Linked DNA regions of Schizosaccharomyces pombe. The gene in region 3 interacts genetically with the main gene of each other region. Each region holds a gene or a part of one and is shown on either strand. Other genes may lie near its edges.

Evidence for each region.
Region 1: mutations in eaf1 (region 3) and sec72 together harm fitness less than expected from each alone (positive genetic interaction), as found in Schizosaccharomyces pombe (one large-scale study listed by BioGRID).
Region 2: mutations in eaf1 (region 3) and emc1 together harm fitness less than expected from each alone (positive genetic interaction), as found in Schizosaccharomyces pombe (one large-scale study listed by BioGRID).

The regions. Positions count from the first base shown.
Region 1 is NC_003424.3:4,385,607-4,395,590, reverse strand, and holds sec72 (Sec7 domain-containing protein sec72), read left to right. Parts: upstream 1-3,097; 5' UTR 3,098-3,166; coding exon 3,167-8,635; 3' UTR 8,636-8,749; downstream 8,750-9,984. Other genes in the region: tsn1 (translin), read left to right, coding at 1-61, 100-175, 224-460, 499-581, 624-792, 850-884; kti12 (elongator complex-associated protein Kti2), read left to right, coding at 1,702-1,873, 2,019-2,692; slr1 (RNA-binding protein), read right to left, coding at 9,505-9,984. UniProt on the Schizosaccharomyces pombe protein: Guanine exchange factor that acts as an activator of arf1 at the trans-Golgi net-work and is thus involved in vesicular budding and traffic between compartments of the Golgi apparatus.
Region 2 is NC_003424.3:2,531,029-2,538,042, forward strand, and holds emc1 (protein Emc1), read left to right. Parts: upstream 1-2,757; 5' UTR 2,758-2,792; coding exon 2,793-5,450; 3' UTR 5,451-5,627; downstream 5,628-7,014. Other genes in the region: CAF assembly factor complex subunit B Pcf3, read left to right, coding at 425-1,651; atp19 (F0-ATPase subunit K), read right to left, coding at 1,876-1,900, 1,963-2,099, 2,142-2,186; ribosome biogenesis protein Sqt1, read right to left, coding at 5,673-6,872. UniProt on the Schizosaccharomyces pombe protein: Part of the endoplasmic reticulum membrane protein complex (EMC) that enables the energy-independent insertion into endoplasmic reticulum membranes of newly synthesized membrane proteins.
Region 3 is NC_003421.2:1,858,889-1,864,571, reverse strand, and holds eaf1 (RNA polymerase II transcription elongation factor Eaf1), read left to right. Parts: upstream 1-2,635; 5' UTR 2,636-2,658; coding exon 2,659-2,743; intron 2,744-2,845; coding exon 2,846-2,937; intron 2,938-3,102; coding exon 3,103-3,189; intron 3,190-3,313; coding exon 3,314-3,805; 3' UTR 3,806-4,105; downstream 4,106-5,683. Other genes in the region: serine/threonine protein phosphatase PP2C catalytic subunit Ptc2, read right to left, coding at 1-815.

The sequences.
Region 1 (9,984 bases), on a different chromosome or scaffold from region 3:
GAATAAATCAATATTTATTCAGCTACAAGATCAAATTGATAAAGAACATAGTATTCGGGAGGTACTAATCTTGGAAATTATGACAAACTAACATTACAGAAACTGACTGCAGAGGTCGATTTGTTAGACGAAAAGTTAAGAGTTTTGCAACTTCTCTTGGCAAACTGTGAACAAAGTAGAAATGAAAATTTACAAGAAAAAGAACATGGACTAACTTTGGAAGATTTAGAAAATCAGGAAGAAATTTTAGAAGCTCTTGAGATCATTAAAAGCAAAACCAGAGGATTAGCAGAATTGGCATCGAATTTTCCATACTATAAATATAACGGAGTCTGGGATCGATCAATTCAGAAAGTTGTTTATTTATATTTGCTAGCTTCCTGGACCGGTCGTTTAGATAAAAGTTTAAGACCCACGTACAGCCTTCTATCGCTTTCCGAAGTTGGTCAAATTTTGCAAGGTGCGTAAATTATTTTACATTTTTCTCACAATCTTCAGTCCCGGTTTTTCCAGAAGAGTCCACTTTTCATCTTTCAATTGAGCAATATTTGCACGCAGTACTATCTCTGTGTTCTGAACTGGTATATATTCTATTCAACAATCCAAATTGACACAATTTCTAGGCTCGTCAATCTGTAAACTCAGTAATATCTGGAAACTATCATATTCCATTTGAGGCCCTAAATACTATTCAAAAAGTTCATTCTTCTTTTCAAGTACTCTCTTTGAAAAACGACTCCTTAAGAAGACATTTCGATGGATTAAAATATGATTTGAAAAGATCTGAGGACGGTATGAAATTTACGTGGATTTTTTTTTTTTTTGATAGTTTATTTCTGACATATGCAGTTGTTTATGATCTTCGGATACATAAATTGGTTTAAATTGCTAACAATTTATTTGCCAGCTGTACGCTTGACTAAAATTGAGCCGATAAAATTGCTTTTTTAATATTAGGTCTGCTTATTTGCTATGAAACTGGCAGTCCTATGATGAATGCAATTATATTTCTCTTTCTTTAATTTTGTTACACTCTCTGGCAAACTGAATAGTTATTTAAAAAAAAAATATTTCAGCCTAGGTTTCTTTAAGTTCTGATTTTTCTTTACCCAATATTCAAGACGTTTTCCAGGGTACTAAATTAATCATTGGACTGGTATACAACATGTGTTATAAGTTAGTCGCATTTTACCAGATACATGTTAATGGCGGCATAAGTAGATACTTTTCTAACTTTTAATCAACTGCATTTAGCTTATATTTCTTGATGTCCTATGCACCTTTAAAATCTTTCAACAAATGATTACTATTTTTAAATTGAACAACCCTGATTGCGTAGAAGGCGTGCATGTTTTTTTAGCGATTAAAATCCGGGGTCTTACTAGTGTTAATCCTTAATTCTTTTAGAACAATTGATAAGGTAAAGGGAAGCAAGATTAAATTAAAGAGACCGCAAATTGAAATTACTGTGTTTTTAAGCCTAAGCAATACTTACTAGTCGTAAGTAATAAGTCAGTACCGAAATTGAGCGCATTACGAAATACAAATTAAGGATAAAAATTAACTGTTTACTAATGTTTAACGAACTAGTAATTTTCGTTAAATTCATGAAAAAATATATCAAAAAAAAGCTGGAAGTTTTCAAACATATGTTTTACGGCTGATTTTATTCAACCTTCTATTTTGTAGAACATAAAGAAAATGCCATTAATAATTGTTTCAGGTTATCCATCTTCAGGGAAAACAACGAGGTCAAATGAACTTAAAAAGGCTTTAGAAGATCGAATTCATCAAAATATCGACAATACAAAGGATTATCGGGTGATAATAATAAACGATGAGAGTTTAAACATTGAAAAAGAAACATATCGAGGTATGTTTAAATAGTTATCTTTAATGATTTAGTTTTTGGAAATTAGCCAATTCATTTTTGGCTTCAGATTGTGCCCAGCTACTCTAGATGATGGGAGAATCCGTATATGCAATTTTTCGTAATTCTGGTAACTAATTTGTCTTAGAGTCCAAGAACGAAAAGGCCGCTCGTGGCCTTCTCTATTCTGCTGTTCAGCGTGAACTTTCAAAATCTACATTCGTAATTTGCGATGCCTTGAATTACATAAAAGGATTTCGATACCAGTTATATTGTGAATCAAAGTCTATGTACACAACTCATTGTGTGATTCATGTTGCTGTTCCTCAAGATTTATGTCGAAAATTCAATAGTAACAAGGAACAGCCGTATCCTGACGATGTTCTTGAGCAATTAATGTTTCGTTATGAAGAACCGAATGGAATGACACGATGGGATTCCCCTTTATTTACTGTCTTGCACGATGATGCTTCTTGTCCTATCGATGACATCTGGTCAGTTCTTATTCATAACAAAAATGTCAAGCCTAACCAAGCTACAATGGTAAAACCTCCAGCTGAAGTCAACTATTTATATGAATTAGATAAAACTACTCAAGACGTAATCATGCTTATACTGGATAATTCCAACGATACCTCCTTGATTACTGTACCAGGGAGCAAACTTCAAATCGCATTACCCAGTGTTACAGTATCTCTTCCTTTACTTCAAAGATTGCGCCGTCAATTTATCCAAATTAACCGGCAACAATCATATAATACCAATGTTCTCAAGGAAATGTTTGTCGAATTTTTAAATGGTCAATTTGAAACCTTGGACTGATATCCTTTTCTTAAACTTTATGATATTTTTTTTTGGGATTTTTAAGGGGACGAAAAAATGTAGCCTAATATTAATACTTAACTTTGTTTGTTTCTTTTTTTTAGAACATGTTTAAAATGGTAGAAATCGTACATTTTGTTTAATTCCTTAATCCTTTTACAGTTTAAGGAATGCTGTCCTGTAAAAAAGAAATAAGAAAACGTTCACGGTCAATATCGACAATAAAAGTTTCAGTAAAACAACGAATATTGTATAAATCTAGTTATAATGTTTACTATTTAATCCATACTGTAATAAAACAATTTATTATAAGTCTCGCTCGTTTGCTTTATATAAGTAGCACATTGAACCGAGATCTAACGTTCGACACATTAAGGCCGAAAACACTTAGCAAAGACATACTCCGCCTTATATTTCATTGCTAAAAGTTGGCTCGTCTAGACGGCAATTGGCTTGAACGTGACCGATGCCAAAATGCAGGATGCCTCTGAACCTGTGATCAATATGCCTGCTCTGCCTATGAACTCCGTGAATGAGCAACATGACAGACACGAAGATCTTCCAGAAGTTGGAACAACATCAGTTACTAAAATTATTAATGATTCTGACAACGAAGATGATGAAAATGGTATGGATCTCGGTCGTGTTGCTTCTGAAAGTTTAGAAGGCGATGCTGTGGTAAGTATTGATATAAATACAGAAGATTCGTCGTTGTCGCCAGCGAAACAAGAAAACGAAAAGAGTCCCGAAGGAATCGAGCAGAAATATCAAGAAGAAGACTTGAAAGACGACAAAAAATCCAATGAAACTATCGCGACGCCTGTACCTGACGCTGCATCGAGGGCCAGTTTGGAAAAGCAAAAATCAGGTTTAACCAATTTGGAAAAATCCACTCATGTAGTGCTTATAAAGTGCATCGAGCAGCTTATACAAATAAAAGTTTGTATGAAGAACGAGAAGATGAAGAATTTAATGGAGCAACTAAAACCTCTTCTACAAACCGAATGTCAGTTTGACAAATTTTTGATAGTAGAGTTATTTCAGTACTGCTTTGAATCCAGTCAAGATGAAGTTATGAACATTTCTTTAGACACTATTTCTAAACTTGCTTCATTCGCCTATTTTTCTTCAAAAGATAAAACACCTGCCTCATTTGGGCCCCCTAAATCCCTTCTACAGTGTATGGTTGATATGGTATGCGATAGTATCAATGATGAAGTTGTTGATGGAAATCTGCAATTGAATGTTGTAAAAGCTTTATCTGCCTTTATCTTATGTTCTGAGCAGGATAGTATGCTTCATGGAGCGATATTATTGAATTCTGTTCGTAAACTCTTTAATGTCTTTCTTCTCGGGGATAGTGATACTATACAGTCAGTTGCTCAAGCTTCTTTGACTCAGGCTGTCACTGTAGTCTATGAACGATTACGCGCGAGCCACACTCAGTCGAACTCTACATCTGCTTTACCGGAAGAAGATGCATCGGTGACGGAAAATTGGGTTCACGATGAGGATGAGCCTGACAAGAAAATTACTCTTCATTCTATGGCATCTGCTGGCACTTCATCATTAGATCATGTTAAAGTTGACGCAGATGACCCAGCTGTCACCAGTGTTGAGAATTCCTCTATCCAAGACGCGTTTTTAGTGTTCCGATCCATGTGTCGACTTGCTGTCAGACAAACCTCGCCTGATAAAGTCAGTAATATCAGATCTCAAGCTATGCGCGCGAAATTAATTAGTCTCCATCTTATATATCGCATTTTAGAAAAAAATAGTGACTTATTCATGGATCCTACTCTCCAATTTCGTGGTATCCCAGCACTTAAAGGAATGACCCTTGTTCATGCCTCCCGTCAATATATTTGCCTAGTATTATCTCGCAATGCTGTAAGTCCTGTTCCCCAGGTGTTTGAAGTCTGTTGTGACATTTTTTATCTTATGGTTTTTTCTTTGCGTGCCCACTTCAAACAGGAAATTGAAGTGTTTTTTCGAGAAGTTTATTTTCCGATGTTAGACCTCAAGAACACCTCCTACAATCAGAAGCTCCATACCTTGTTAATCATCCAGAGAATCTGTCTTAATCCAAGAGCTCTTGTAGAGTTGTATATAAATTACGATTGTGATCGTTCTTCCACTACCAACGTTTTCGAACAATTGCTGTTTTCAATCTCAAAAGTTACTACCAATGGTCCTTCGGAAACGATATCCGAAGATATTGAAGAAATTCTTCCTTCTTTAGAATCTTCTGAACGGAGTAGTACCCCTTTTCTAAATACGAACTCTGCTTCGTTAAAGTCCGAAGTGGTTCAACTTACCACATTTAGCGATTTTCAATTGAAGCTAAAGACTTTGCAATGCGTCCTTGACATTTTGCAATCTTTATCAAATTGGGCCGAAAGTGGTCTTTATTTATCTCGCCGAGGTGTGTCAACGGATGAGCAAGGTTTTGTTGGAGATTATGATGCGCTTTCCAGGTCTGATACTCCTGTGACGAATCCTTATTATAACGGAAAACAATCGTTTGAAGCAAATTCCCATAGCAGTAGTTCTATCGCACTTGCAGATCCTTCACAATTTGAATCAAACAAACAACGAAAGAAGCTATTACGGACTTGTATAAACAAGTTCAATTACAAACCTACTAGAGGTCTTAAGATGCTTTCAGAAAATGAATATGTTGACATAAATGATCCTAAAGCTATCGCTGAATTTCTGTTTCGTGCTGATGGTATTGACAAAACTACTTTAGGAGATTACTTAGGAGAAGGGGATGAGAAAAGTATTTCCGTGATGCATGAATTTATTGATTGTTTATCTTTTATAAATTTAAAGTTTGTAGACGCTTTACGTCGTCTATTGCAGTGTTTCAGACTACCCGGTGAAGCCCAAAAAATTGATCGAATTATGCTGAAATTTTCCGAAAGGTATATGAAGGAGAATCCGTCTGCATTCGCTAATGCTGATACTGCCTACATTCTTGCTTATTCTATAATATTGCTTAATACTGATTTGCATTCTCCTCGTATTAAAAACAAAATGACAAAAGAAGACTTCATTAAAAATAATCGTGGAATTAATGACGGTGCTGATTTAGATGAAGACTATCTTGGTTTTGTATATGATGACATTCTTAAAAATGAAATTGCTATGAAAGATGATCAAGAACTCGCAGCGATTGCTCCTTTAATGAATAATTTCAGCACATCTAGTGGATTCACCACATTTACTTCTAATGGACGAGATCTGCAAAGAGTAGCTTGTATTCAAGCTTCGGAGGAAATGGCTAATAAGGCTACAAGTGTGCTAAAAAAGCTATTGTATCAACAGAAACATGGATCACAAAAAACAAATGTTTATTACAATGCTACTCATTTTGAACATATAGGTCCCATGCTTGAGGCTACTTGGATGCCTATACTTGCTGCTCTTTCAAACCCTTTACAAAATTCTGATTATGTTAATGAACTTAATATGTGTCTTGATGGATTTCAGCTTGTTGTCCGTATAGCTTGTCTCTTTGACCTTGACCTTATTCGAGACGCTTTTATAAAAACTCTGACTAATTTTACTAATCTGCATTCTACCAGTGAAATCAAATTACGTAATACTATGGTTATAAAAACATTACTGAGAATTGCATCTACCGAAGGTAATAATTTGAAAGATTCTTGGAAAGATATCCTTACTATTATAAGTCAACTAGAACGCGTGCAACTGATTGGTGTTGGTGTCGATGAAACAGAAGTACCTGATGTTATAAATGCACGTGTTCGTCGAAAGAATGTGAACATTGGTTCTTCAAACTCAATTCGGCATGTTAGTGGAAGTACTTCTCGTTCGACTAGAACTCGCTCACTATCTAAACCTTTATCCCCAGAGGCAGTTTCAGAACTAATGTCCACTGAGGTAGTGTTGAGCATTGATAGAATATTTACCCAAACATCTTCTCTTTCTGGCTCTGCGATAGTATCATTCTTTAAAGCATTATGTGAAGTTTCTTGGGATGAAATAACATCTTCTAGTGATTTGGAGCAGCCAAGGCTATATAGTCTACAAAAGCTGGTTGAGATATCCTATTATAACATGCAAAGGATTAGAGTGGAATGGTCATCAATTTGGAACGTTTTGGGTAGATTCTTCAACATGGTGGGTAGTGATGAGAATAGGCATGTTGCTGTTTTTGCATTGGATTCCCTGAGGCAGCTTTCTATGCATTTTCTCGAAATTGAGGAGTTGTCTCTCTTTTCCTTTCAGAAAGAATTCCTTAAGCCATTTGAGTACGTTATGGCTTCCGATACCGTAGTAGAAGTCAAAGAACTTGTTTTACAATGTGTTAAGCAAATGATTCAAGCTAAAATTTCCAAAATAAAATCTGGATGGAAAACTTTGTTTGGCGTTTTTACATTTGCGGCTAAGGCTAGAAGCGAAATATTAATTTCTATGACTTTTGATACCCTTGTCAATCTTTTTTCCGAGCATTATGATACTTTAATGCAGCAAAATTGTTTGATAGATATGTTGATATCCTTCACTGAATTATGCAAAAATGGAACAAACCAGAAAATCTCTTTACAAAGTTTGGAAATTATTAGAGAAGTTTATTCAAGTCTTTCAACTATGATAAAGGAAGGACTTAGTTCCAAGCCTTCAGTAAATGAGACATTTTCTAAATATGTTTTCCCAGTTTTATTTGCATATTATGATATAATAATGTCAGCTGAAGACTTGGAAGTAAGGTCAAGAGCTCTTCAAAACTTATTTTATATATTCTTAGAAGAGTCTGATGATTTCACTGAAGAAACTTGGGAAGTTGTTTCACGAAAATTTATATTCCCGATATTCTCAATATTTGGACCAGAAGCGGATGAAGCGACTGTTATGTTAAGGGATGAGGAGATCAGGACTTGGCAATCTACTACTCTTGTTGAAGCGTTACGAAGTCTCGTCACTTTGTTAACACGCCGTTTTGACAAACTTCACAATTTGCTAAAAGGTTATCTATGGTTATTTAGCAATTGCATTTGTAGAGATAATATTACACTTTCTCGCATAGGAACAAATTGTATGCAGCAGCTACTTTCTGGAAATGCGTATAGGTTTGAAGTTAAAGATTGGAATCTGGTCGCTGATATGTTTATTGAGTTATTCAAGGAAACCACCCCTCATCAGCTTCTTCTTCTAGAAACATTTTCCAATGGGCAAGGAGCCCCTGTTTACTCCGAAAATGAAAATACTCAATTGAGCCATAAGCGAGGCGGTTCTCTACCGGAAACTTCTCGTTCAATTTCGACATCCTCAATTTCCCCTGAGAAACAGATGGAGTTCCGTTCAATGATTCGAAAATGTATTCTTCAACTACTTTTAATAAGTATTGTTGCTGAATTGTTAGATAACGAGGAAGTTTTTAATCATATCCCCCATGAACATGTATTGAAAATAACTGTGGCTATTTACGACTCATGGCAGTTTGCTCGCAAGTTTAATGAAGACAAATCTTTACGTATTACGCTTTTGAACGTTGGATTTATGAAGCAACTCCCTAATTTATTGAGACAAGAAACGGCTAGTGCATTGTTGTACATCACTTTGCTCTTCCGCTTATTAAAAACCAGAGACCCTTTAGGTAAAACAGAAACGGATCAGAAAATTCATAAACTTCTTTTTCCGGTTTGTGCCGAAATGCTGGATATGTATGCTTCCTTGGTTGTTGAGAAACATACGCGTAACCATGCTGCATGGCAGCCTGTCATTGCTACAATCCTGGACAGTATACTGAATCTTCCTTTAGAATTATTTTCCGAAAACATTCACACTCTTTACTTTTCTTGTTGTTCTATGATTGCAAAGGAGAACCTTGATGATCAACTTAGAGAACTACTTAAAAATTACTTTAATCGTGTGGGTCACATTCTATTAAACCTGAATGCCCAACAGGAATAAATAAAGTGATTTTCAATTAATTTCAATAAATTAGCTTCTAGTAAAACAAATAATCCTTTTATAATTTTAGATAACTTATTGGTAAACTTTCTTTTTTATTCTAAAAAATTGCCCTTCTTTTAAATAAGTTTTTTTCAAAACTTGAACAACCTCTTAATATTCTGCATGTAAGCTAATCAGTATTTGTAGTAATCCAACGCCAGAAGGAAGATGCTACTGCCACACACACCAGAGACCTTTTTTTTAACGATCAATTAAAGATTTTTCGTGAAATATCCTCTTCTATTATTCATTTCATGTCCCTGCGGCCTTTAAATATAGAATAGCTTAAAGTAAAGACGAGTACATTATGAGTTGAAGCATCAAGGTACAAATGGTAAATTTACTTTACAGAAAACATATTAAACTCACAAAATTTTGCCATGACAAAATAATAAAGGGAGCCAGTGATTTGGAAGATATAATCAGGAAGCATGAAGTTACAGCGTATCACAGTTGAAAATAATAACAGAAACTATATGCAAATCATAAACAATGATTTTTTTTAAGTAAAAAAAAATTAGAATTTAGCATAAATGACACATCACTTTAGATAATCATTTAATCCAGTAATCCCATTTATCGAAAACGACATATACTCTTATAATAAGTACAATATTTTCTTTTTTTTTTTTTTTTTTTTTTTTTCTTTTAACCGAAAGAAATAAACCCATTACGCTTCAGTAACCAAAACCAAACTATAGAAGTCAAGTTTCAATAAACAATCCTTGCCTTTTAAATAAAAAAAAGTACAGGCGTCAATAAAAGAACAGACCCAGAATGAACGAAAAATATTGATGCCTCGAGAAATAAAAAAAATATCAAAAATTCTAAACAGTAAGTTTATCCTCAACCTCAGTTTGAACATCTCTTTTTATAATTGAATCCACAGAAGAAGGAATGAATGGAGGAGAAATTGTCAAATTTGAAATGGAACTGGCAAGAGGGGACATGCTGGAGCTAGAGTTTATCTGAGGATACTTGGCCATTTCAAACTTCAAGCGTGACTCTGAAGGTAAAATCCAAGGAGACCAAGTTTCCTTTCTTCTAACCTTAATGGACATAGGAGACTGGAGATCAATAGCAACATCAATAATATCTGAAGCCTTGCAAGCTGCATGTAAAAGATTCAAATCTGTAGAAAAGCTCTTAATTCGATTGAAGGAAGCCAAAAATGCTAAAGGAACGTAACCTTCATCGTCCATATGTTTACGAAGAAACATATCTTTGCACAAGTTTTCAATCGAAAAATAATACTCTAGTTGTGAAGTGAGAAATGCTTGGACATCACAAAGGTAAGGATTAACGCC
Region 2 (7,014 bases), on a different chromosome or scaffold from region 3:
TGCATTATTACCATCATATTCTCTGTCCACTTTCGTTTGCTTCTTTAACTTACAGTTAGAGAAAATACACTTTAAAATATAATAATGGAAAACAGCTATATTAAAAATCAATATTGGCATAGCAGATCATTCATAGTATTATATAACTTCTTGATATAAAATTGTTTCTTTTTTCATTTATTTGTTCAGCTGTATATGGTAATCCATATTTCGTACTAAGCGCTTCGTCTACCGACGTTGTAGGTTCAACCTTCCATGTACATACCTTCCAACAAAACTTTCTTACATATTGATGGCAAATAGTGGCTTATAGACAGATATTTTAGTTTAACTCATTCTCTAAAAGTAAAATCACTTGCATTCTTTTGAGGTGGTAGAGGTGGTTTAAACTCAAATTGTTAAAAATTTGTTAAAGTATGCAAAAATGAACACCGAACTGGATATGCAGAATTTCGAACATATTAAGTTTCTAGAGAATCAGATTAGTGAGGATCATTTTCGTTGGAAAAAAAATTCGAAACATCTATACAACTTACTAATAACCCGTACTTTAACATGGCCCTCTTTAAGTATCCAATGGCTCTCAGCAATGGAATCGATCACTGAAAAAGCGGTTTTAAAAAACCGTCTTCTCCTAGGGACTCATGCCGCTGAAGGGATGCCAAATTTCTTGCAGCTTGCAGATTTAGATTTACCTGATTTCAATCAAACTATATTGGATCCAGTAAAACACTACAATGAAGATACTGGTGAGCTAGGAGGCTATAGTATGCAACATTCTTGCAAGTTCCAAATCTCGCAACGAATTCTTCATAATGGCGATGTAAATCGTGTTCGACACATGCCTCAAAACCCAAACATCATAGCTACTATGAGCTCTTGTGGAAATGCATATATATTTGATCGGACAAAATATACTTCAATGCCCGCTGAAGAATTTTTACCAAATATCTCTTTGATTGGGCACAAAAAAGAAGGGTTTGGACTATCTTGGAATCGTCAGCAAAATTGCCGACTTGTAACAGCTGCTAATGATTCGAAAATTTTAGAATGGGATCTAAATAATTTTAGCCGTGATACGAGGTGCTTAACTCCCGTAAAGGATTTTCATTATGATGATTCTCCGGTTAATGATGTTGAATATCATCCGCACCACACCAACTTATATATTGCTGTAAATGATAATGGAATTGCCTTTATTTGTGATAACCGACTTCAACAAACATGTTCGAAAACAGTTAAAGCTTCAAATCCCCTTTTTAGCGTCAGACATAATCCTTCAATTGCGACTTTGTTTGCTTTGGGGTCTGAGCAAGATTTACAGCTTTGGGACCTTCGGAACTTAAATAAATCGGTTTTTAACACTTCTGAAGACTTATCAGATAATAGATTAAAAGTGCCTTCTAGACTAACTCTAGGAGGCACCAGTTTGTCATGGAGCTGGAGACACTCTGGTCGGATTGTTAGTGCCTGCCAAGAGTATTGCTATGTGTGGAATTTTAACAAAGCTAATCCTTTGGAGTTTGTGCATGCAGGTCATAAAGGTACGGTGAATGAAGTGGACTTTGATCCGTTTGAGGCACAATGTATTGCTTCGGTTGCTGATGACAATGAATTACACATTTGGAAGCCCAATGTTATTGTTAATTAATAAATACTTACATCCATCACACGAGGTAATACAAAGTTTTAAGTTATACAGCAATTAATTAATTGCAATTTTGATGGGTATGTTGCAGGGCTATATTGTATTCATTCATCTTCAAATTTGCTCAACGTGTACATTAAAATTACCTAATGACATAGAGATATTTCATTACTAATGAAAAGATAATTTTTCACTCACTAATCGTCCGTTCGGTAATCAAGGATTTCCTACTTATGTTCTTCAATGTATTTCCTATAAAGTAGTATTAGTAAATATATTCCAAACACTCGCTATAGAGCAATAGCTTTACTTACAAAATGAATTCTTCTTCTTCTTTGCTTTTGGCATTCAAAGGAGGAACATCCTTTGCGCTAAGTGGCTTATTTCTTTTAAACAATTTACTATAGATCACAGGACCAACAAATACTGAACCGAGAACAGCTAAACTCAACTATGTTCATTGTTAGGTGTACGGAATTTGAAAAATACATACTTGATGAGCTTGGAATTGACGACCTGCAATTGTATAAACCGACATAATGCTTATATTTAATAGTGAATGATTGAATCAAGAGAAGGGAGGTAAAGGTTTAACACGGTTAGCAGCGAATATGAAGCCGACTGTAAACTTAGCAATCAATATATTCGTTAAATTAGCTTAACGAAAAATAAGGAATACAGTTATCACTTCAAGTACATATAAAATTGCAATAGAATCAACTACATGAAATTAGGAAGTTAGCTAGCTTTTGCCTTTTATATGAACTACTTCAAATTAGCAGATAAATAGTAAAAAATGTGATTATAGACATTTTGTTTGCATTTAGTACGTTTGCTAAACGTAGAGAATGTACAGGTGTTTCACAGCAAATTTTTAATTAACTGACTATTCTTTTTAAATATCTAAATTTTTCAATCATTCATCTTGCTGCGACATTGCTATACGCTTTCAAACCATATTGTTTAGTTTACAGTACCCAATGTGTATTTATTGCGAAAAGCATCGCTATAACAGCATATTCTTGGGACGCACTTCAGTAAACTGTGTTGTAGTTCGCTACTCCTCAGTATATTTGATACCTTGCATTAACAATAGGAACTATACAGGTACTGGACTACATACCATCTTTTCATATCAGTTACGATGTTACGGCCTCTGTGGCCTCTCTTTCTTACTGCTTTGTTTTTAAACATCTATAGAGCTGCCAGTGTTTTAATAGATGAAGCAGGGAAAAACGATTTCGAAATTTCTCTACTTGGTAAAGTTAATGACCTAGTTTATGACACCAAAAATGAATATCTGTATGCCGTTTCTCAGAAAGGCTTATTGGCGAAATTAAATGCATCAAACGGAGATGTGATTTGGCGCCAATCCATTGCACCTGAAACTAGTCAACTCAACTATAACCCAGTCACTAACTTTATTATCACCGTGGACAAAGATTATTTGTATATTTGGAATTCCAAAAATGGTATTTTGGACAGAAAAATTGAGCTCGCTGATGGAAAAGGTAAATTATTTGAGGTTAATAAAGGTTTTGTTTACCTCAATCCTCATACTCGCAAGTTCATAGAGTTGGATTTGCAAGCTTCATTTTCTATTTCAATTGAAAGGGATTTACAATTAGATGCTATTTCCTTTTTGACTTATGCTGAGAAAAACTACGTCTTGTTCAAGAGGGATGGTCAATTTGTTCTACAAGCTTTAGATCACAATTATGCTGTTTATGGACCTGAAACTGTTCTTAATGTTCCTGAAAACGCACAATTATTAGTCACAGAGAAAGATGTTATTATTTACTCTTCCAACGGTGTTATTTACGGTATCCATGTTTCTATGGCAGATATTTCTCAACTGCTTATAGATGAATATAAAACATTCGAATGGTCTAGTATACCTGGTAAGAGACATGGCTATTCAATTACAGTCGATTCTCAATCCACCCCAGTCACTTACCTCTTTGTTATCATTGATAGCGAATTTGTTTTGATTGATGAGTATATACATGAGGACACCGAAGCTCTAGGATATATCCATATGGAAGATAACCAAACATTTTCTCGAGTGTTTGCAGTGGCTAATCAAATTAAATTCGCACCAGCCACAGTAATTACCATTCCCAACCAGCTTTCTAGACCTGTATTCCGTTTATTTACATTTGCTGAGGGAGAAATTTCCGCAATTGTAATTTTGGACGACGGAACTTTCTTTTCATTTTCGAATACCGAATTAGTTTGGAAGCGGGAAGAAGCATTGGCATATGCTATCAATCCCTCTATTCTTCCAACAACTTTATTGACAAGCTACCAGAAATCCATTCAAGATGAGGAAAATTCATCGGTCTCTTTCTTAAATCGATGGTACCGTCATTTTAATCAACTCATAGATTTCTTGAAACATCCTCATGGTTTTACTTCATCCTCAGTATTGGATGATGCTTTTACCACGAAAATTATTATACCAACATCAACAGGATCTATATTTTGTTTATCCAGCGACCCTAAACAAGTGCACAGGATATTATGGCGCTATGATTTTAATATTAACCCGGAAAGTGTTGAATCTTGGCTATTGGATATTTCAGACGAAGATCCAAAATTTGCTTTTGTGCACCAGTGGAATGATGCTTTTAGCTTTTATATTTTGAATGCATCGGATGGGTCCGTGATATCTCAAAAATCTAGAGACTTTAAAGCTGACGAGTTTTACTACGTTGATAATATCTCCAAAAACTTACCTAATCAAATATTTGCCGTAAAAGATTATAAGGTTTTACCCTTGACCGGTGATAACTCAATATTCGAAAAAATTTCTCAAGAAGCCAATTCTATTTTTGTTTACACTTCTGAAACCAAAGTCGAAGGGTTCAGTATTTCTGCTGACCTTACAATGGATGTTCAATGGTCGTACAATCTAGCCGAGGGTGAAATAGTTATTGCTTCTATACGTCGTAATCCTCACGAAATAGTGGCTTCTTTCGGTCGTGTTTTGCAAAACCGTGAAGTAATGTACAAATATTTGAATCCCAATTTATTTGCGTTATTTTCAAAATGCAAAAACGATTTAGTCGTCTATGTAATGGACTCCGTTACCGGTTCTATAGTGTATCAGAATAAACACCAAGGAATAATATTGTTCGACAAAGTTTATGGAGTCTTCTCCGAGAATTGGCTTGTTTATAGTTATCAGAGCGATGTGCCTAATTTGTCTACCAAGATAATATCAGTTGAGCTTTTTGAGGGATCTCACTCTAACGAAAAAATCGACAGCAACGAAATATATTCTCGTCATAATGATTACAGGCCCTATGCGTTCACTAAAGCATATATATTCGATAGAGAAATTACGACTTTGGGTGTCACCAACACTCCGCAGGGCATCACCTCGAGAGATGTTTTACTTGGCCTATCAAGTAACCAAGTTGCAATGATTCCACAAGCTCTTTTGAGCCCTATGCGCCCAGTCCTTAGACCTAATGAAAAAGCAAATGATGCGTCCTTTATCCCATACGAACCCATTATACCATTGAACGATGATATGGTGTTGTCTTACAACAAGCGCGTGTACGGAGTATCTCAAATCACTTCTGGTATTACTAATTTTGAAAGTACGACGTTGGTTTTATCAACCGGACTTGATGTTTTTTTTACCAGAACAGCTCCAAGTATGCCATATGACATGCTCAGTAGCCATTTTGATAAGAAACAACTTATGTTGACCACTTTTGGCATTCTGCTCGCCGTTCTGTTAACAAAGCCTTTGGTAAAGAAAAAGCAGCTTAATACCAAATGGTACAATTAAAAACACCATGGAGAATAAAAATATACTTGATTAGATTTGCTACAGATTATATAGGAATAATAATTCTTGGATAAAACACTAGTTTACTTGTATTACTTGTTTACTCAATAGTTTAAAAAAAAAATATTAATCCCCATGAATATATATAAATTAATATCGAACGCGTTTATCCCATAATAATAATTTTTTTTTCTTTTCAAAAAATTAACCTTTTTAACACTTTTAATGTTCGCAATCAAAAACAAGTAATTCGGTGTCATCAGAACCGGTTACAACACGTTTACCATCTGGAGTAATAGCCATACACAAGATAGGCTCTTGATGGCCTGTATACTCGCCAAGTAATTGGCCAGACCGAACATCCCATTTTCGAATAACACAATCCGCGCATGCAGTCAACAAATATGGAGTGTTGGGTAAAAACTTACAATCAATAACCGCTTGTTCATGGGGAAGGGATTTTCTAAACTTAAGGGATGCAGAATCGTAAAGCGCGACAGTACCATCGACACTAGCACACGCACATATAGGTAAGGCCGTGCAAAGTGCGATAGCTTCTACACTTTCAGTTTGGGCCTCCAAAGAAGCAAGAATATGACTACTATTAATGTTGACAACTTTTACTTTTCCTGACGAACCTCCTAAGAAAAGAACGTTACCTTCAGCATTACAGTCGAAGCTGGTCCAACCGGCGGCAGTTTCTTCATTACCAGGATCAAAGCGATGATCATCACTAGACATTCTGCATTCTGGTGCTCCAGTAGCCGGGTTCCAAACAATTAATGTACCAGAATCATCTACGGTTGCTAAACGCTTGCCAACACCGGGTGGGATGAATTTTCCAGCATTTACAGGTGCCGTATGGCCATACATAACCTGAACCACCTTACCAGAGGGAAGACTCCACATCCATATACTTCCGTCATTACAACCGGCGGCTAAGAACAAGCCCTTAGGGTGCCAAGATAACCAAACAATTTCGTCCACAGTTTCAAAAGCAGTAATGAACTCAAAACCTGTACTGGATTTCCACAATCTGACTTGACTATCCATACCACCAGTAGCAATATAAGTTCCATCAAAGCTCCAGTCTATAGCTACTATGGAGTCTTTATGTCCTGTCAATTGACATATTTGTTCACCGGTAGTAATGTCCCATATATACCCTAGGTCATCTCCTCCACCAGACGCGCACAGATTTGAATGCACTGGATTGATAGAGACGCTGAATACAGAGTCTTTATGCTCGAAAAAACCTTGAACAGACATGTCCATAACCATGTTATTCATAGTATCGTTTTGTTCTTGCTCAGCTTCGTCCTCTGTGACACCTTGGTCCATTAGTTTGTCATTATCTTTAATAACTTCTTCTACTTCATTTTCTGCTATGTATAATTCTTGATTTTCTTCTTCTTCGGCCATTATTAATGTGGGTGTGTACCAGCTAAAAAGCTTTGCAAAGGTCAAGCTTAGTAAGGAAATCAGTATGTATGTAATTTTACTTAGGTAATAATATATTAATTTTATTCATTATATATACATATAATAAAAATAAATAACAAAA
Region 3 (5,683 bases):
CTAGCAATACAACGGTCCATAAGATTTTCACAAATTACTTCCAAAGACTGCCGCGCAACAATGCCTCTTCTTACAAACTCCACGACTTGTTGAGAGCTCTTGCAATCCCAAATTCCATCACAGGCCAGAATTAAAAATTCATCATCTGGATCTATGTTATGAATAACGACATCAGGAAAAGCTGTAACGATCTGTTTTTCTGGAGGTAAGGAACTGTCTTTCTTGTACTCAAAGTCTCCAATGGCACGAGAAAGAGCCAAACTACCATTCACTCGACCAAAGTCGATGAATCCCCCTGCAGCCGTGATTCGAGCTTTTTCCACGTCGTTGTTTGGTTTGTGATCAAAAGAAAGTGGTTCCGCAGTTCCCTTTCTACCTAAGACCGTTCGCGAGTCCCCAGCATTTGCACAATATATTACTTGATGGTCGACAATCAAGGCAGTGGTAGCTGTGCATCCCGAAGGATCTTCCTGCATGTCCCGATCTTGCATTAACGCATTGTCTGCAGCCAAAAAACCAGATTTCAAAGCTTCATCATAGTTACCCTTCCAAAAAGACGGCTGACTTTTAATGATATCTGGTAAGTGCTGCCTGCAGTACTTGGCGACTCTGTCGCCTCCGTGCCCATCAAAGACCCCAAAGAAGCTTGTCGGAGGATTAGAAGAATTGGAATCCGTAAAGTTTAGCAACGCACAATGCGCGTCTTCCATCGAAATACGCCATCCTTGCATGTGTGAAACGCCAAAATGAAGCCATCGATCCCCGCCAGAACTCGAATGTTTGTCGAGTACGGGTTCTGAGAGTGTTTGGCCCATGTGTATATTTTCTATTACCTTTGTTAGCCCAGCTAAAAAACCTGTAATTTGCGGTTGATGCGTTTAGTAAAGTTACGGAAAGGAAACAAAAAAAAGTGTATGAGCAAATTAATAGGGAATTTAACCACGCTAGCTAAATAATATATAAGGATACTTTAAAAAAACTTTATATCGCATTACGCTTTAAAGTTGTCTCGTTAAAAAATAGCGATTTTCTGTACACCACGGAAGCGTTGCTTTGCAAATTCGTACGCTTTACGTTATTAACCAAATCGTTGTTGGGTAGAAAAGCGTGAAAATGAAGGGTGGGTAAATAATTTAGTAGAAATGATTTACAATATAAAAAATAAATTTTGATACTGTTAAGCTTCAATGTGCTCCAGCTCCGGCTAATATACCCTCACAAAGACACTAATGAACGATGCCTTGAAATTGCTAGCGCATCGAGGAGCCCTTACTTATAATAAAGCTATGGCGATATCGAAAAAAGTAATCCAAACCCAGGTCTAAAAGCAATTCTTGCTTCTTTCCTTTCACTGTTCGCTCTGGCAAAAAGGTCGTACTGGGAGTCGAACCCAGATCTCGAGAATCAAAATCTCGCGTGCTAACCGCTACACCATACAACCGAGTACGGTAAAGCCGTAGATTATGTTGCTTTACCATAAATGAAAAGTTAATATAATAATCCAAGAGGTAGAGAAATGAGAATGGAATGTTCATGAAAATGTCGTAGACTTTTTCCCCATGCAACTTGGTACATTAATAATACAATAATAAACATAATCTTATTCAAAAAGGCTTTGCTCACAATGCTCATATACCTGCTTACACTAGTCAACTGTTTATACAAGCTCTTCGTAATTAATGTATTAGAAGCTAACTTCGTTAAAAATGTTAAACGTTCATTTCCCGCGATTCGCTATATGGTAAATTTTTTAAAAAGAAATGAGCTGTAGCTAATAAATATCAATGAATGATAGATTGACGCAGCAATAAGAAAAACCATGTATTTTGACTACTGATTTACTAATTTTTAAATCGATCGTGACGTTTTTGTTGTCAATAGCAGCAATAAATCTAACAGTCATCATACTCTGAGAATTTTGCCCTACGACATGCACCTAAAAGACAAGAAACGCAAGTAAATTTTTATAATATTTCAATCATACTGCTGACTGTGCGCAGGTAGTCCTCGAATGTATATATATCTTGTAAATAAAGGATTCATCCTTGTACCGAAATGATATATACTGTACAACCTACAACGTCTTTCTCGGTCGCGCACTGTGTAAGTTCGTTTTTACGAATGCTAAAATAGCTGCTCGCAAATTGGTATAGCAAATTGAGTGTTTATCCATTATCGTTCATTTCTTGTCAGCAATACTACACTACGCTATGATACACTACGTTGCGCATCACTATATGTCATATGTTGGAATACTAGCTAAGATCCGTTTATTGATAATCACGGGTAACTATCCGTCTATATACATAGATACCCGATGATAACAACTATTTAGAAATATTATGAATAGAGTTCCAACTGAACCTCGTTCCTCAGTTCAGTTATGAGCTATATTAGTGATAGGTAACATTATAACCCTGTTAATACAATACCTATTCTCAGTTGCTACTTATACAACCTGTGTAATGTAATATAATAGACCACAAGGAAAACTCACCGCAGTTCTACGTATCCTTAAACCAGATACCAAACTGCGTAGCTTACATTTCTGGGGTTTAAAATTAGAAACCTTGAGCTGTCTTACCTTACGTTATTTATTTGATTTATATCGAAATTTCCAATTTCGTACAGGCCTGACTTTTACCATTATAAACAATCATGAATTCATTACAGAAGGGATCATACAAAGTTATTCCCGGGTCCAGCTTCTCAAAGAATTCAAATGGACTTTTATCTATTAAATGTACGTTGCCCATTTATTTTTAGAGACAGTGTATATCTCTGTTGCAAACTATGAACATCATACTTTCTCCAGGCAGAATACTTATTTCTTTTTTGTTTATAGACAATTTTATACCAGAAAGTGTGGACCCTTCTCGTCGAGGTGTTTTAGAAAAGGCTCAGGAAGCCTATCGTCTACGTCTTCCTTCAACTTTTGTAAGTATTATAAAATTGACTAAGCAAAGTTGGTTTCCCTTTTCTTCCATGAGGAGTAAAAATTTGAAAAAATCATTTTTTTACTTTTTGGTTCCTCAAATTTTGAAACATCAATTTGCTTCTGTTATTGAATCAACGAATGCTAATGTATATCTTCATTGGTAGGATGATGACAGGCCTCATATATTTGAAGGCTCATGCCAACGAGCCAGGAATGTGGACTGTGTACTAATTTTTAACGCTAAAACAAAGGTAAGTTATTGTCCCATATACTATTTTTAAAGAGGTTAAAATCTATGTATGCATGCGTGCATGTGTATGTATAGAACAGGAATCGTTTTCATGTCACTACTACGATACTAACATTAGGCATTAGACATTCACACTGGAGCATATTGATGAGATTGCTCGATTAAATGCTTTACGCAATCCAAAAGTCTCTAAAACTGTACCTTCTAATGCCATCACTCAATCTGATAATTCCCAAATCTCTGAATCCAAATCGACCTCTCAAAGTGCGGTCACGACTAATTCCACGAGACGTAAAGAAAAGGAATTGGAAGCTTCAAAGGATGGAAAAATAAAACCTTCATCGAGCAATACTCGATATCCTGCCATATCTAGCAAGGGACCAATCACCACCGATACCAACGATGAGCCTGACATGGAGGTCATGGAGTTGGATGACTTTGCCAAAGAGTTAGAGCTAGGATTTGATCAGGAATTTAATTCCATAGACGACCCCTCTACAGTATCCCAAACGGCCAGCAAACCAATCTCTTTGAGGGGTCTATCTTCGCAAGAGAGGGATTATGCTTCTTCTGCTCAGGCAGAGGGTATCAGCAGCGCTTCCGAGGATGAGGATTAAGTATGCTTTATGCTGTGTTTCGTATACACTTTCCAAACACGATAATGAGAAAATCTGTTAATGAACGACTTGCAACGAAATTCCAGGGAGTAAAGTAAAGCAAGACAAGTCTTTTCCATCACTACTCGACAGCGAATCGGCGGTAATAAACTCGTTTCACTCTGTGTCATTTTTTTAATTATATACGAACGTGTCTACGCCAAGGGAAAAACATATATCGTTTTAAAATGTTTTCATCTTTTTATATTTCTTTTTATTATTATTAATTCATAATGACTATAAAAAACATGGCTTGTCTTAGCGTTTCATGAGACGGACAATTTTATTCAACCCACGGCAATACCAGAGTAGCAACGTTGGGGTTTTAAATAAACTATAAAAAAAAAAGAAGCTTGACTAGTAAAAAAAAGAATTAGTAAAAGGAGTTAAGAAAAACTAATTGTCTGAACCAGGAAAAAGACAAAAAAAGAGTTTTGACATTCGTTTGTAAATTGCTCAGTAATCAAAGTTGACAGCATTTTGGTTGTCAAGACCATCAGGCTCATTAAATCAGATGATTAAGCATCCTTGCAATCCAACATTTGTCGTTTCAGTTTCCTGCATGCAAAAGACGAGCTTACCTATTTAGTCTGAATATATGAAAATGAAAAGAAGTTACTCAAAGCATTTCCACTAAGGAAAATATATTGTTGTAATTAGAAAAACTAAACTAGAAATCACCATCCAACAGCATCAGTCAGTATAGATAGTGTCAACTAGCGGTGTGTTTTACCAGGTAAACATGTTGGACAAGGAATATAATGAATACGTTGTTTAAGGAAGAACGAAGGTAGAGGTGTGTGTGTATATATAGTGTATGGGGGCATTAGGTAACAATGTTGTCTGTAGTTGAGAGAGTGTAAACAAGGATAGAAGAGAGAAGAGGATTTAAAATAAATAAAAAAATTGAATAAATAAAAAATTTAGAAAAGAATTAATTCATTGATGCAAAAAAGAAAAAAACAAGAAAAACATCCAAGAGAAAAAAAAAAGTTGAGTTGATTCTTTTGATGTTTTCATGACAAATGATTAATCAGCAATATACTTGAAAATATGCAAATTGAAATTGAAATTCAAATTCAAATACAAAGTCAAATTCAAATTCAAATACACACATACGAATTCTAATTCAACCACACTCACACACACACTCCCTCCTCGTCTATCTTAACAACACATTCCAACGCACTACCCTTCATCTTTTTATTAAACTCCTACATCGTACCTCCATCGCACCACCTTCCATTTCCTTATCTTTCACTCCAACTCACATTACCTCCCTCACCGTTGCTGAACCCACCCTACACTATTCTCGCTTACGATACAACGCTCCAATCCCCAACGGTCCATCTCCACGGACTAGTTTCCTCATTCTACACGGGTCCAATGATACTTTCTTGGTAAGCAAAAGGGATACAAAGGAAAAGGGATGTTGCATTCTCATTTGGAACAAGCCTATCAGCCTATCCAATAATGTAATTTATTATTATTACCATCTCCAACCAGCTTCCTTCTTTACCTATCTTTACGCTGCGACCGATCCAATGAAAATTCAAAGAAGCTTAGGTAGAGTGGGTGCAAGTAGAATATCGGAGTTTAAGAAATGTACCAATGTGCGTTAAAAGAATGGTTTCGCAAAGATTACGTCGCTCTATTCCAAGAATAAAATTTTATTTTGTAGTGCAGTAAAATGTAATAAAGTAAAGCGATAAATTTCATAATATTCTTAGAGAAAGAGAAAGAGAGAGAGAGAGAGAAAGTATGGGGGAAATGGGAAATAAACAATTGTTGGAAATTTGGACCGTTTCAACAGGAATCCCATTTTTCCATCCTTTTCAT